2 linked regions of the Sus scrofa genome follow. The protein of the gene in region 2 interacts with the protein of the main gene of each other region in a biochemical or structural test. Links are inferred from orthologs where the notes say so. Each region holds a gene or a part of one and is shown on either strand. Other genes may lie near its edges.

What was found.
Region 1: the proteins of TRIM72 (region 2) and UBE2H form a complex in vitro, tested with the Homo sapiens proteins (2 studies listed by BioGRID). The link is inferred for Sus scrofa from reciprocal best matches to the Homo sapiens genes TRIM72 and UBE2H.

Annotation. Positions count from the first base shown.
Region 1 is NC_010460.4:18,817,451-18,825,126, reverse strand, and holds the start of UBE2H (ubiquitin-conjugating enzyme E2 H), read right to left. Parts: upstream 4,658-7,676; 5' UTR 4,531-4,657; coding exon 4,490-4,530; intron 4,470-4,489; exon of another isoform or gene 1,202-4,469; intron 1-1,201. UniProt on the Homo sapiens protein: Accepts ubiquitin from the E1 complex and catalyzes its covalent attachment to other proteins. E2 ubiquitin conjugating enzyme that transfers ubiquitin to MAEA, a core component of the CTLH E3 ubiquitin-protein ligase complex.
Region 2 is NC_010445.4:17,289,954-17,296,856, reverse strand, and holds part of TRIM72 (tripartite motif-containing protein 72), read left to right. Parts: coding exon 1-108; intron 109-3,934; coding exon 3,935-4,030; intron 4,031-4,141; coding exon 4,142-4,372; intron 4,373-4,552; coding exon 4,553-4,575; intron 4,576-6,066; coding exon 6,067-6,185; intron 6,186-6,903. UniProt on the Homo sapiens protein: Muscle-specific E3 ubiquitin-protein ligase that plays a central role in cell membrane repair by nucleating the assembly of the repair machinery at injury sites.

The sequences.
Region 1 (7,676 bases), on a different chromosome or scaffold from region 2:
ATCTATAATTATATACACATATAATATATAGATATTAGTATGCAGGTCAAGGTGCTGGGAAAACTGCACAGTACTAGAAAACCAACGAAACCAGGTTCTTCTAACACACACACACAAACTGGGTAAGGGATTTTTATGGGTCACATCTGCAAAAGATTGTTTTCCCCTAAAGCTGAATTTTTAGGCTTGTGTGTAATTTACTAGAACTGCACTGCAGCAATCAGATGTTCTGAAGCTGTAAATGCTTACTCATATAGGTTCCTGCTTAACCAAAATAAGTACCGGTATGTTATATTTGTCACCAAAACCTAGGCAGAGAAGACAAATTCAGAACACTGGGAGTTGCCAAAGCTTTAACTTTTAGCTTGAAGACCATAAAACTGTTCCACGTTCCTTCCATCTCATCATCTCACTCAAACAGAGGCCACAGGAAATAAAAGGCAAACCACAGGTTCCCAATTGTCACTGGAGCTAGTTAAAAGATTACAGAACTGTCTACACTTTAAATACAAATTAAAGAGCAACAAAGACTACTAACTTAGGAATAGAATAACTACTGATTAACTACTGATTAGCAAAATACCAAAGCTGAAGTCAAAGACAAATGGCTACACATTTTAACATTTGTTTTTATTTCAGTTTTTTAACATCTATCTTTTAAATAACAGGAATATAGATTCCCATACATCCCATTACATAAAATTCACTTTAAACTTTCTATTCCTTAAAAAGTCAGTTCTGAAAGTACAAGTTATTCAAAAAACAAGGTGATACAGCGCTCACCTGCAATAAATACTTTTTCTTTTAAATTGTTTAACTGGTTACATAAGCTTCATGACCACACACACTGAATTTTTCACTACTAAACCCGCAGCATCTAGCCCCCTGGCACAAAGAGGGTGCACAAATGTGTGAGGCGATGAATTCGTTATTGAAAGCTTCTGAAACCCTAAAGCAGAAATCTAGGTTTCTGTGACTGACTACTGCTGTTAATAAATTCAGTATAAGTTACTGCCCCTTTCTGGACATTACTGTTAAAACTTTTGTAAGGAAAGCTTAACATTTCTACCATACTTTTGCATCCCTGCAGGAATCAGTGAAATACATTTAAAGTGGTGGCTATCCAGTTTTTAAGTTACACACTTTGAAAAAGGGACTCTGAAAACTTTTGGTATTATAAAAATAAGTTCCAAAATCTCACCTCAAGAACAAGATACAGTTGCATGCCGAGCCCCCATTATTATCAGATCCACTTTTCTGATTTAACCTTGAACATTTTCTTGTACTCTAACAAGGCAGGTTTTCCTCTCCTCTTTTTACTTGTTGAAAATACACCTGATCGGTAACACCACTCACAAGGCCTCGCCAGCCCCTACTTCTTTTGTATATATAAACACACTCTGATCACACACTCCATCAGCTGTTTGGTAGCTCCGCCCCTCCTCCTTTTCCGGGTAGTAACAGAGCAGCCAATGAGCTGTGAGGAGCTGTGCCTGCGGCCTTTTGCCTGCATACGCTTTTCCAAAACAAGCAGCTCTAGCCTTCAGCAGGGGCCACTGGTTCACAGATAAAAGGATCACCAGGCTGTGCAACAGGGTGAGACGAGTAACCCCCACCAACAAGGAAACCCGTGTAATCTGAGCTGTTTGTTCCTCCACCCAGGAGAACTTAAACCGATATTCCTTTAGGGCAAATCACGCTTTAAGGTCACCAGAGTCCCAGTTCTCAGACAATCTAAATAATCGGGCAGGTTTGAGATAGAAACCTCAAAGCTTGCCAGGCTGGGAACAGCACAGGATCACCAATCTACCTGACTTTGCAAACAAACAGCAACACTATTCAAAACCACCATTCCACAGGATTTGGGCTCACTGCAAGTTTTTTGACTGGGACACATTCCTACAGGGCCCAAAAGTCATGTACATCAGTTTCTAGGCTCCTGGAGAGGTTTGCACAACCCTCAGCAAAGGATCAGAAGAGAAACAATGAATGAGTCAGAGTTTCAGAACATAATCGCCCAGATTATTAAATGCATTGGTGCAAAACACTCACTCCCTCCATAACTTGGAAGTCAGCTTTCCTCCTACCAACCCGTCACAAAAGAAATATCACCGACTCCAAACAACCAGGGACAGCGTCTCGGAAAGAACCTACGAGGTAGTGGAAGGCAGTGGCCAATTAGTTACACATCCTCTTCTCTCCCTACCCCCACACCGCTACTTTCCTACTATATAGGTTCCCTGCCAGGCTGTAAATCGTGGTGGCATAATTACGCTCAGGAGACATCCAAAAATGGGCTGAAACAAGACTGCAACGAAACCGGCTATCAGCCTCCATACCAACGAAATCACCAAGGGGCACTGGGGGGGTAAAAAGCAAGTACATTCCTTCAGACCTTTCCCACTTCCTCTCCACCATCTTTCATTTTCAACCCTCGGCGCTTTCACACAATTGTGTTCATTTTAGTAGTGCGTTGGGAATTTTTCCTTAAATTTTGTGCTAAATATACCTTGCTCAAAAATCGTAGTCTCCATTTGTGCCTACTAATGTGAATTCAGCACAGAAAGGAGGCCACAAAATCTCTCAGCCCCACAACACACAGGCACACACAAAAGGAAATACAAAAAATTTAACTTAGACCAGAAAATAACAGACTCGAAACAAAGATAACCTCTGGCTTCTAAATCCTGAGACTGTGGTCCTCTTATCTCAGACATCTACGATTTTAAAGCGCCTCTGCTTTCTTTTGTCAGAAAGGAGGAAGGTGGGGAAAGAACAGAAGGCCAATGCATCTTTGCCTTTCTTCATCTTCTACTAAAAATAAGCTATGAAATAAGCCACTTAGGGGAAGAAAAAAAAGAAAGACACCCTGCTGTTCTTTGTCTGTTTTCCTCTCCCTCTCCACCCCCCACACCCCGACTCCTAAATACGGTAATCATTCTAGATGCCACAACTACTAAATGAACAAAAGGCACTGTATGGAAAAGGCATCAGGTCAAGTTAGGCCTCACCCTTTATCCTCAGTTTTCTAAAAAATATAGAAGTATATAATTTGAGAATCTGACATTGATCAAAGACAGCTGGAATTCTCTCTCCCCCACCCATCCCAATTTAACATTAGGTAGAAATTTGCATTAGGTGTGACAGTCTCAATTCAAGATAAAAATAACTCAGGTTCTGCCATCATGTCATTTCCTAGTTTCTAAACAAAAATAAAACCTGAAACTGCTTTGTGTAAAAGGTACACACAGCCATAGTTACAAGTTTTCCTGCCACTGTATTTAAGGCCAACATTACTGGTATCATTCACACATTTACAAAACTCAATCACAGCCCAAGGGTCAATTTCACTTGTGCCTAGACATACATTTGGTACAAAATATATACTTTATTACATGCTCCTCTCTCTAATCCCCACTTCAACCTCTCCAAAATTCTAAACTTCAAACCACAAAACTTGCAAGTTCATCTACTGTTTGTAATTTCTAATCAAGTTTTCCCGAGCGAGGAGAAAAACACCTTGTTCCTGAAAAGATTATGCGGGGGGAAAATCACTTGCCCAGGCAACTTCCCTCCCATCCCCCACTTCCAAATCAAATGCAAAAACTACTTTTTAAAAACTTCAGCGAATTCCTTAACAGAATACTTAACAATAATCATTGATCTCTGCAATGAGGCAAAACGTCCAATCAAAAACAGTAACAATAAAAGGAAGAAAGAAGGAATTCACCTGAAGAATCTAGCCAAACAACTTGAGTTATATAAACAAAACCCTGCAACAGGGGGAAATGGTGGGGGGATGGGGTGAGGGAGAAACAAGAAGCAGGAGAGACAGACTTTTCAACTGCGTTTCTCACACTACCACTCCCCACCCGGATTCCCCTCTCCCCAGGGATTAGCTGTTCACAACACTGGGCTCATTTCCTCTCTCCCCCCACCCTCTAAATTACCCCTCAAAAAAATGTCTCGATTTGTCCCAAGAACCTTCGCGAATTTCTCTAGCTGGTCATGAAATAATCAGTCTGGACTCCAACCAAAACCACTGCCTGAAGGACTCTTATCAGTTAGAGCTGTCCCACTGCTACCTTCAGAGTACACAAAGTTGGGGGGGGGGTCGGAAAATAAAGGGTGTCATTTGGCAAGATCAGGATAATTATTCCCCAAGAACCTTATTCTCAAACAGGGAGTTTGCTTAAATGGCTAGCACAGGGGCTATTTAGTCAGGGAGATCCTCTTTCTCTCTCCCTCCCCACAGCTGTCATAGCCACAATATGGAGGGTGGCTGGCTGGAGGGCCTGGGGGTCCTCACCAAATACAACTATGGGTGGGATAGGCATTGTCGGTGGGGTTCTTCCAGGGACAAGGAAGCTTAACAGGGGTCTCGGATTGAAAACACTCAGAGCTCTTTATTACAAGAGGGGGCACTGAGTAGAATACTCTCTTCCTAATATAGAAAGGAATTAGGGATAAAGGAGGTCACTTGAGTTACCCCAGTTCAAGAAGCATTGTGAGTGGAGGGAATGGAGGCATCTCAAGAACAGGAGAAAGGCTTCACTCTCGGGAATTTCTATATCGAGTCCCTAAATCCAGAGCGAGCAGAGAGGAAAAAGAACGTGGGCTCTGTAGTGGAGAGAGGTGGCTGGTCCTGCAAAAAAAAAAAAAAAAGAAAAGAAAGAAAAAAAAAAAAAAGCCGTTTTGGGAGTCCAAACGTCGTGGAGAAAAGTCACGGGCACTGGGGGTGCAGAAAGAGCGTGGAACAACGCACATTTCGGGGTGCTGCAGATAAAGGGGGAGCCGAGAAGGCTCTCAGCTCCTGGGAGGTGCCAAGGAGCCTCCGTAGGCACTGGGGGGAGGGAGACGAAAGAAGGAGCCTCGGACAGTGGCCTGGAGTGCCCCTGGGCCCCTGTTTAGGTTTCAAGGGGGTGCCGTGGGCATCCCCATACTGCCCCCCACATACAGCCCGAATCCCCCCTCCTCGAAGGATACAGCTTGACCACGTCTGTGTCCATCCGCCTCTTGCCCGGACTAGGGGATGACATGGTGTCGCCGCTGCCTCCCCGTCGCCTGCGCCGCCGCCGCCTCTCTCCTTTCCTCGGCCCGTCTGTCACGGGCCCTGGGCCCCGGCTCTGAGGAGCCCGCGGTCGCGCCGGCTCCTCGGTGGAGGTGGCAACACCCCCGCGGTCTTGTCCGGTCCCGTCAGCCGCCGCCGCCGCCGCCGCCCCCCGCACGGGGGAACACCGGGCACTGTCCGGCCGAGTGGGGGTGGGGACCCCGCGGCGCCCGGCTCAGGCTGCCCCTCTCCGGCTGTGGGTTCCGCCTCGGCCCAGCCCCGGCGCGCCTCTGTGCCGCGCGACTCTCCCTCCTTCCTGCTCTAGCTCGCTCGCCTGCTTGCCTGCTCGCCCGCTCACCCTCTCGCCGGCTCCCTAGCAGCCTCCACGACAAGCGGACGATTCCTGCTCAGTCGGCCTCTCTACCCCAGCCTCGCTCTGGGCGCCGTGACGTCACCTCTGTGACGTCATCGGAGGGGGCGGGTCCGGCTGGCAAAAGGGGTGGGGTGCCGCCGCCGCCGCGGCGTGAACTTTTCTCGAGGGATTCTGGGAGATGTAGTTCCACTTTCTCCTGACCGCCCAGCTCTCCGCCCCCTCCCCCAACTCCCCCACACACTTAATCGCTCAACTGCCAGTGTCGTTATCATCATCATAAACGATAATGGTTAAATAATGGCACTATTATTACATCCATGTATTTTAGGGTAATGACCCTCCTTCCCACGTACACTGTTAAAAATTCTGTTTATTTGATTTGAGGAAGCCAAGGTGGCAATTAACCCAGTCACCAAAATCTGGAAATTCCTACACAAGCATTTCCCTGCACTCTGCTCCCTCCTTGGAGGGAGAGAATTTGTTTGCATGGATTGTAGACTAGAGCAAGGCATCTCTGAGCTTGCAAATCAGAGTTTGCTATGCTCCTGTGTATAGGGTCACCTTTTCAAGGATTAGAGTTGAGGCGGCCAGGCCACAAGGCCAGAAATAATTTAGTACTAACATCCTTATTCTATTCAGTATGAGGTGATTTCACAAAATGAATGACTGATAGAAGCAGAAATACCCCAAACATGCTCTTCTTCAGGCAAATTGTTCTGCCCTCCAAACTCCTATATCAACCCCATATACTTCATCATTCAGTAAGTATTTATTGAGCACCTATTGTAGTCATCACCCTGCTGGACATGAGGATATGGTGAACTAAGAAATACTTTAAATTTACACGGCACTCCCAATACGGTCTAGATTTAGAGTGTCAGCATCACCTGGGAACTTGTTAGAAATGCAGGCTAGGGCTCCACCACAGACCTACTGAATTAGAATTCGCAATTTAACAAGGTCCCCAGGTGATTCCTTTGTGTAGTAAAGTTTGAGATACACCGCTCTACAAAGCTCTCCAAAAGAAGTGACGCGGAACCCAGAAGTCAACCCGCCAAAGGAGGCAGGAAAAAGTGTTCTAGGCAGCTCTTGTATTTATATCCCATTTTCACTGCCACCTGTTTTCAAAATTTTTATCTATTCCCTTGTTCCCATGAATACATTTGAATTTTGTCAAACCATGTGCTGTGAGTTGGGTCCCCTTATGTAACAGCTATACACACACACACACAAACCTGGAGCCAAACTTGGCTCCCCACTCTCCTTCACCTGAGTATCTCCCACTCTTGTGATTCCCAAGCTTTGGTGTACTTCTGAATCACCTGGGGAGCTTGTTAAGCTCACAAATGTCCAGGCCCCACCCTGGGAATTCTGATTCAGAGGGTCGAGGGTGGGGCTTGGATGTCTAAGTCTTTAACAAGCTCCCCAGATGATTCTGATGCAGGCCAAAGTTTGAGAACCACTCCTGATAGATTCCACCATAGGCCTCAGCACTTGCCAAACACCTGCCTGACCCCTCTAGGTGGGTCCTGCACTTCCATAACCTCCTCTGCAAATAAGGAGGTTTCTTCCCCACCTGAGAGCAAGGTGGTAAGCTCAGAGAACCCACAGATATTTTTTCCAGAACAGAAAAAACTGATCAGGGATGGGATACTTGAGTAAAAAGGGCATAGAGGGATCTAGAAATTTTCCCTGCTGCTTTAATTCTCACAGATGTTATGCTGCCGTGATCTAAGCACTAAGCAAAAATTATTAGCGAAGTATTTATTTAGAGAGACTTGTTCTGGACTACCCTGGAGAAGGTAGGGCTGCTCTAGCCAGGAATGCAATGGCAGTTAGCCTCTGAGCAGTTGTCAAAAAGGAATCAGCCTTCCCAGTAAGTATCTTAACTCTGAGTTACTTAGGACAAACCTGCCCCTCCCCAGCTCTTAATTATGCCTCAGTTAATTGCTTACATCCTCCCCAAGCATCAGTTTTCTCATCTGTAAAATGTGGTTCATAATGCCCTACCCACTTGAGTGGGTTGATGGAATAGATGGAAAAGATGAATGCGAAAGCCCCTTGTAAACTAAAAATTGCTTTTCATAAAGGCGATGTGAAGTGTTATTGTAAGGTGTGATAGGATACTAGCAGGGGTATTAATATCAATTCTCCACTTGCCCCACTCGCTATGCACTGTGTGGCCGTTAAGAAGAACATTCACTTTTTTGGAGAGGGGGTTTAAGATGTCTTAGTGTTACTCTTTGTGGTGAA
Region 2 (6,903 bases):
ATCTACTGCGAGCAGGACCGCGTGCTCGTGTGCGGCGTCTGCGCCTCGCTGGGTTCGCACCGCGGCCACCGCCTGCTGCCCGCCGCCGAAGCCCATGCGCGCCTTAAGGTGCGGGTCCTGGAGGGTGGGTTTGGGTGGGATCGCTGGAACGGTCGGGGCCGATCCTGGGCCCGGCTGATCTGGAGGTCGCTGCCACCACTTGGCCTCTGAACTTCAGGGCCCAGAGCGCCTGGAGTTGTGGGGGACGCGGGCGGGGCGGCTAGGGGAAGGGGACCTGGGGAGCTGAAGGCGGGGCCTGAAGGAGAACTCAGCCTTGAAGAGATTGGAGACAGGCCTTAGAGGGGCAGGTGCGGTCGCTGGAGCACGCCCGGAGATGCGGGGGCACAACTGCAGAGCAGGACTGTGGAGGACTGAGCCGGTGCCTGCGCATGCTCGGCTGCAGGGCTCAGGCCCAGATAAGAGGGGCGGGGCTGCCTGGGGCTCCCCAACTCCCCGCTCCTGCCCACCAACACTCGGACCAGCTGCTTGGCAGGGGATTGCATGGGCCTGTCAACCCTGTCACCAGATGGAGCCTAACCCAAGGGGGCCTGGGGGGGCCAAGGCACGCCTGGGCACGCACCTCTGTGCGTACGCCCTGGTTGGCACCGAGACCCAAGTCCAGGCTGTTTTTTTTTTTTTTTTTTGGTCTTTTTTGTCTTTTTGTCTGTTGTTGTTGTTGTTGCTGTTGTTGCTATTTCTTGGGCCACTCCCGCGGCATATGGAGGTTCCCAGGCTAGGGGTTGAATCGGAGCTGTAGCCACCGGCCTACGCCAGAGCCACAGCAACGCGGGATCCGAGCCGCGTCTGCGACCTCCACCACAGCTCACGGCAACGCCGGATCGTTAACCCACTGAGCAAGGGCAGGGACCGAACCCGCAACCTCATGGTTCCTAGTCGGATTCGTTAACCACTGCGCCACGACGGGAACTCCCCAGGCTGTTTTTGTGGTTGGAGCTGGAAGTTCTAAACGCCTCCAGAGCCCACACACAGTTGTGCGCACCCGCAGCTTTGTGATCCCCACGGGTGCCCAGCAAAGACACCTAAACACTGGCAAATGGAGCCGTAGGCCCATACTGGCTTCAGCTGTCATGCATGTGGCTCATCACAGTCACAGCTAAGGGAGGGTATGTGTCTGCACGGGCTGAAAGAGGTCTGTCATGAAGCATTTGTAGGGTTGTTGGAAAAATACACAACAGGTGCGGGGGCGGGAGGAGGCAGGGTTTGGTGGCATGCAGCAGTCCTCTGTCTGTGGTCTCTGCCATGAAGCTGCAATTATCTTCTCGAGGCTGCTGTTGGGATGGGGGTGGCCATTTCTGCAGGTAATCTTTGTGCACAGACATCAGCATTGCATGGCACTTCTCCTTGGCCCCCAGACTCCTAGGAAGTGGAGATCCCTGTCCTTAGGCTGGTATTCGAGGTCCCCAGACTCCTACTAGAGGAGCCCAACCTTACCAGTCTCCCTGCTCTGCCCTTGTCCAGTCCAGTCCGGTGCTGGCTGGGGGTCTCCTAGTCCAGGGAGGTGTTTCCTCCTCCTGGGAGTCCTCTGCACTCAGGCTCACATCTGCTGATAACCTCAGAACTCCCAGCATTGTCCATCTTTATCTGTGAAGAGAGAATGGAGTCCCTGAAATGGAACTGGGCAGGGGGTGGCCCGGGAGTCTCGAGTAGCTGGGTAGGGTCTGCATCAGCCCCACCCTGAAGGAAGGGGCTAGTGGAGTTCTGAAGGGGTATCCCTGGGAGGAGCCCGAAGGAGGAGGCCGGCAGGGAGTCTGGAGCAGCAGTGGGTGCCTGGGTCCTTGGCGAGGAAGGGGGGCTGGATCCAGAGACCATGTGCCAAGACTCAAGAACGGTTGAATGGGAGTTCCTGTTGTGGCTCAGTGTTAATGACCCAACTAGTATCCATGAGCATGTGGATTCGATCCCAGGCCTTGCTCACTGGGTTAAGGATCTGGTGGTTGCTCTGAGCTGCAGTGTTGGTTGCAGACGCGGCTCAGATCCCATGTGGCTGTGGCTGTGGCTGGCCGCTGCAGCTCTGATTTGATCCCTAGCCTGGGAACCTTCATATGCCAAGGGTGCAGCCCTAAAAAGAAAAAAAAAAAAAAAGAGTGGTTGAATGTCTCCCATGCTGCGTCCCCCGTTGTGCCCTCGCAGTAGGAGACCAGCCTGTCTCCAAGATTGGCCTCGCAGGGCACTGAGCACCGCTCCCCCTCCCTCCACTGTGGGGGTTCCAACGGCCTTCGCACAGCCAGGATGGTGTCGTGCTTGGTCCCCGTGGCTCAGTCCTGTCACCCATGACCTTCGGAGGGTTGAGAACAGCCTGCAGCAGGAGGGGCTGTAGCCCCAGAGGACGTCCTGGGAGGAGACTGACCTGGCTGCTGGCCACCAGCGCCCACAGTCTGATTCTGTGGCTCCTGCCAGTGGGGGGGTACTCATCAGCAAACAGTGCCTAGAGGGTCTCCTAGTGTCCTCTAGGGGGAGGTGGGGGGTGACTGTTCCCATTCTGTGGAAGAGGAAAAGTGTTGAAAGCCATGGAGGCAGGAATGGACTGATTTGATTCCAGAGCTGGCACCTCCCAGCAAACAGTGGCTTTGGCTAGTGGTCTTTCTTTTTCTTTCTTTCTTTTTTTCTTTTTAAGACCACACCTGCGGCACATGGGCGTTCCCAGGCTGGGGGTTGATTCGGAGCTGCCGGCGTACACCACAGCCACAGAATGCGGGATCTGAGCTGCGTCTGTGACCTACAGACCATGGCTCATGGCAACACCGGCTCCTTAACCCACTGAGCAGGACCAGGGATTGAACCCGAGTCCTCATGGATACGAATTATGTTCGTTACCACTGAGCCACAATGGGAACACCCTGGCTAGTGGTATTAGGAACTCCTTGCCACTGGCATTTCGGGAGTCACAACGGGACAGACCTAGAGTAGGAGCTGGCCCACAGATATATTTGGTTCCTCCCTGCAGAAGACACTTTTGTTTAATCGCCTACCCCCAGAACCCACTGGTATACAGGGAGGCCAATTAGGGTATTTTGCTAAGGTTCAGCTTTTAGGGTGAAATAAGAGGAGGCTGCCTTTCTTCTTCTTCTTCTTCTTTTTTTTTTTTTTTTTTTGCCACCCCACAGCATATGGAGCTCCCAGGCCAGGGATCAGATCTGAGCAGCAGCCTTGAACGAAGTCACAGCTGTGGCAACGCCAGATCCTTAACCCCTGTGCCAGGCCGGGGATCGAACCTGAGTTCCAGTGCTCCCAAGATCCTGCTTATCCCATTGTACCACAGTGGGAACTCCTGCCTTTTTTCTTTATACATCCTACCATCGCCTCTGACACCTGCTGTGTGCCAAGCCCTTAGCACTCCAGGGGAGGAGACCAAACCGCATTTAAAATCGTCATCCTCACAGCGACCTCTGCTGGCGGCACTGTCTGCTGAGGGGATAGAATCAGGGCAGGCAAGGCCAGGATGGACTTGGCAGCCACTGGGAGGAGGAGGCATCTATGCATCAGAACCAGTACTGGCAAGGGCTGGAGACCAGCAGATGCGTTTGGGGAATGGCAGGGTGCCAGTCTGGCTGGAAGAGGAGCTGGCACTGAAGCTGAGCCAGAGGGGACAGGTTAAGGCGGAGAGGTATGGCTTTGGTGGGAGAGGTGGGCTGCAACATCGCTTTTTTTTTTTTTCTTTTTTAGGGCCGCACCTGCAGCATATGGAGATTCCCAGGCTAGGGGTCCAACTGGAGCTACAGCTGCCAGCCTACACCACAGCTACAGCAACGCAGGATCCTTAACCCACTGAGCAAGGCCAGGGATCAAACCCGCAACCTCCTGGTTCCTAGTCGGATTTGTTTCTGCTGTGCCACGACGGGAACTCCTGCAACATCACTTTATGCCTCACCCCCAGACGCAGCTCCCGCAGCAGAAGCTGCAGCTGCAGGAGGCGTGTATGCGGAAGGAGAAGAGCGTGGGTGTGCTGGAGCAACAACTGGTGGAAGTGGAGGTGAGGGGCTTGGGGCGGCAGAGTGGGGGGTGGGGGTGGGGAGGCCTGGTGTGTGTGTGGGTCCAGGCTGGGGGTCCCCAGCCAAATGCTTTTGCCTGTCTTCCCCCTCAGGAGACGGTGCGTCAGTTCCGGGGGGCAGTGGGGGAGCAGCTGGGCAAGATGCGGTTGTTCCTGGCTGCACTGGAGGGCTCCTTGGACCGAGAAGCAGAGCGTGTGCGGGGTGAGGCGGGGGTCGCCTTGCGGAGGGAGCTGGGGAGCCTGAAGTCTTACTTGGAGCAGCTGCGGCAGATGGAGAAGGTGCTGGAGGAGGTGGCAGACAAGCCCCAGACCGAGTTCCTCATGGTGAGCATTGGATGGCTTTCCTCTCTGCCCCGCAGCCAGGGTTCAGGCCCCTGAGACCTCGTTCCATTGTCACTTTGTCTCTGAGGTCCAGGGACCAGGCACCAGGCACAGAGGAGGGGTGCGCCCCACCCCTGTCCCCAAAGCCTACCTCATCTCCATTCTCTTCTTCTCTCTTTCCAGAAATACTGCCTGGTGACCAGCAGGTGAGATCAGCCTGGCCCTGCCCCTTTCCCACCTTGTCCTTGTCTGCCAGGGATGCTGGCTGGCTCACCCTCTGCTCCCATTCCGTCTTCTGGGATCCCCTAGATGTGGACATACGAACGAACTGACTTGTCCTTCTCCAAAGGGGCCTCGCAGACTGGTGCTGGCAGCAGCCATGGGCAGAGACACAGGCATCCTTCAGTGCTGCTGTGGTGGGGGGGCAGGGTCGCCGTCCAGAGGGGTGTGCATTAGAGCTGGATGCTGAAGGAATGAGCAGAAGTTGGCCAGGTGAAGAGCTGGTGGAGGGAGTTCCGTCGTGGCTCAGCAGTTAACAAACCTGACTAGATTCCAAGAGGATGTGGGTTCAATCCCTTGCCTCGCTCAATGGGTTAAGGATCTGGTGTTGCCTTGAGCTGTAGTGTAGGTCACAGATTCGGTTCAGATCCCATGTTGCTGTGGCTGTGGTGAAGGCTGGCAGCTGTAGCTCTGATTCGACCCCTAGCCTGGGAGCCTCCATATGCCTTGGGTGTAGCCCTAAAAACACACACAACCGCCCCCCCCCAAAAAAAAAAACCCAGAGTTGGTGGAAGAGCATTGCAGGCAGAGGGACCAGCAAGGGCAAAGGGTGCTAAGAGGGAGGGAAGGGGGAAGCTGCTGGGGCAGGAGGGGCCGCACTGTGCAGGGCGCAGGAGCTGGACTTTAAAGCAACTGATGGCTTTGAAAAAAATCCTGGTAAGGAGTTCCCGTTGTGGCTGAGCAGGTTAAGAACCCAACTAGTGGAGTACCTGCTGTGGTGCAACAGAATTGGTGGCATCTTGGGAGCACTAGGATTCAATCCCTGGCCTGGCACAGTGGGTCTTTAAGGATCCCACACTGCTGCAGCTGTGGTTCGGGTCTCAACTGCAGCTTGGATCTGATCACCGGCCCGGGAATTCTGAAAAAACAAACAAAAACCTGACTAGTATCCTTGAGGATGCAGGTTTAATTCCTGGCCTTGCTCAGTAGGTTAATTAAGGATCCGGTGTTTCCACAAGCTGTAGCGTAGGTCGCAGAGGTGACTTAGACCTGGTGTGGCTGTGGTTGTGGCATAGGCTGGCAGCTGCAGCTCCAATTAGACCCCGTGCCTGGGAATGTCCATATGATATAGGTGTGGCCCTAAAAAGATAGAAGAAAAAAATTCTGATACAATACACATAACATGAAAATGACCATTTTAGCCATTTGTTTGTGTACATTTTCAGTCCAGTGGCATTAAGTACCTTCACGTGGTTGTGCAACCATCACTACCATCCAGCTCTGCAATTTTTTCATCTTCCCCAACTGAACTGCCCACAGAGGAGTTTTAAGCCAGGGTGGGATGCGGGGGAGAGCCTAGGTCTCCACCACAGCCCCTGTCCTCCTCGCGCCTGGTTACTGTGGCTTGCCCTCCCCTTCCTCCCTCCCTCCCTCCTCCAGGAAGTCCTTTCACCTCCCCCCACCTCCCCACCCCCCAGGCTGCAGAAGATCCTGGCAGAGTCGCCCCCACCTGCCCGCCTGGACATTCAGCTGCCTGTCATCTCAGACGACTTCAAATTCCAGGTGTGGAGAAAGATGTTCCGGGCCCTGATGCCAGGTACTGGGAGGGGCTCCCTCTGGGTTTGTGTGTGTAACTGTGTGGTTGGTGGGAGCCCCCCCTCCAGGGGTGCCCCCATCCCCTCTGGTCATCCAAGAAGGTGCCCATGGCGCCCTTCCCTCGGGGTTTCCCTGCACCTTGTAACCTGTGCTCAGAGAAGGGCCTTGGAGGGCGTGGGGTTTCAGATGGGTGACTGACAGGGAGAGAACACTGCTTACTGGAAGGCTGCCGCTGCCGTTGGCCCAGAGGAGGCTTGAGCCTTGGCCTGTCCCTGCCCCTGCTGGATGGTGATGATAATCCCTGCTAACTGGGGGCTGAGGACCTGCAGAGCTGGAACCCTGGAGTCAGACACTGACTCTGGCCTGTGGCTGGGGAAGCCCAGGGGCTCAGCCTCCTCTGCTCAAGAGCTAGAGCATGGAGTTCCCATTGTGGCTCAGGAGGTTACGAACCTGCTAGTATCCATGAGGATGTGGTTTGATCCCTGGCCTCGCTCAGTGGGTTAAGGATCCCATGTTGCTGTGAGCTGTGGTGTAGGTCACAGATGCAGCTCGGGTCTGGGGTGGCTGTGGCTGTGGCTGTGGCTGTGGAGGGTAGCTGCAGCTCTGATTCTACCCCTAGCCTCGGACGCGGTCCTAAAAAGCAACAACAACAATAACAAAAAAGGTAGAGCATGTTGGAGCTACAGTTGGGGGCGCTCTAGGGGACACACACACACACA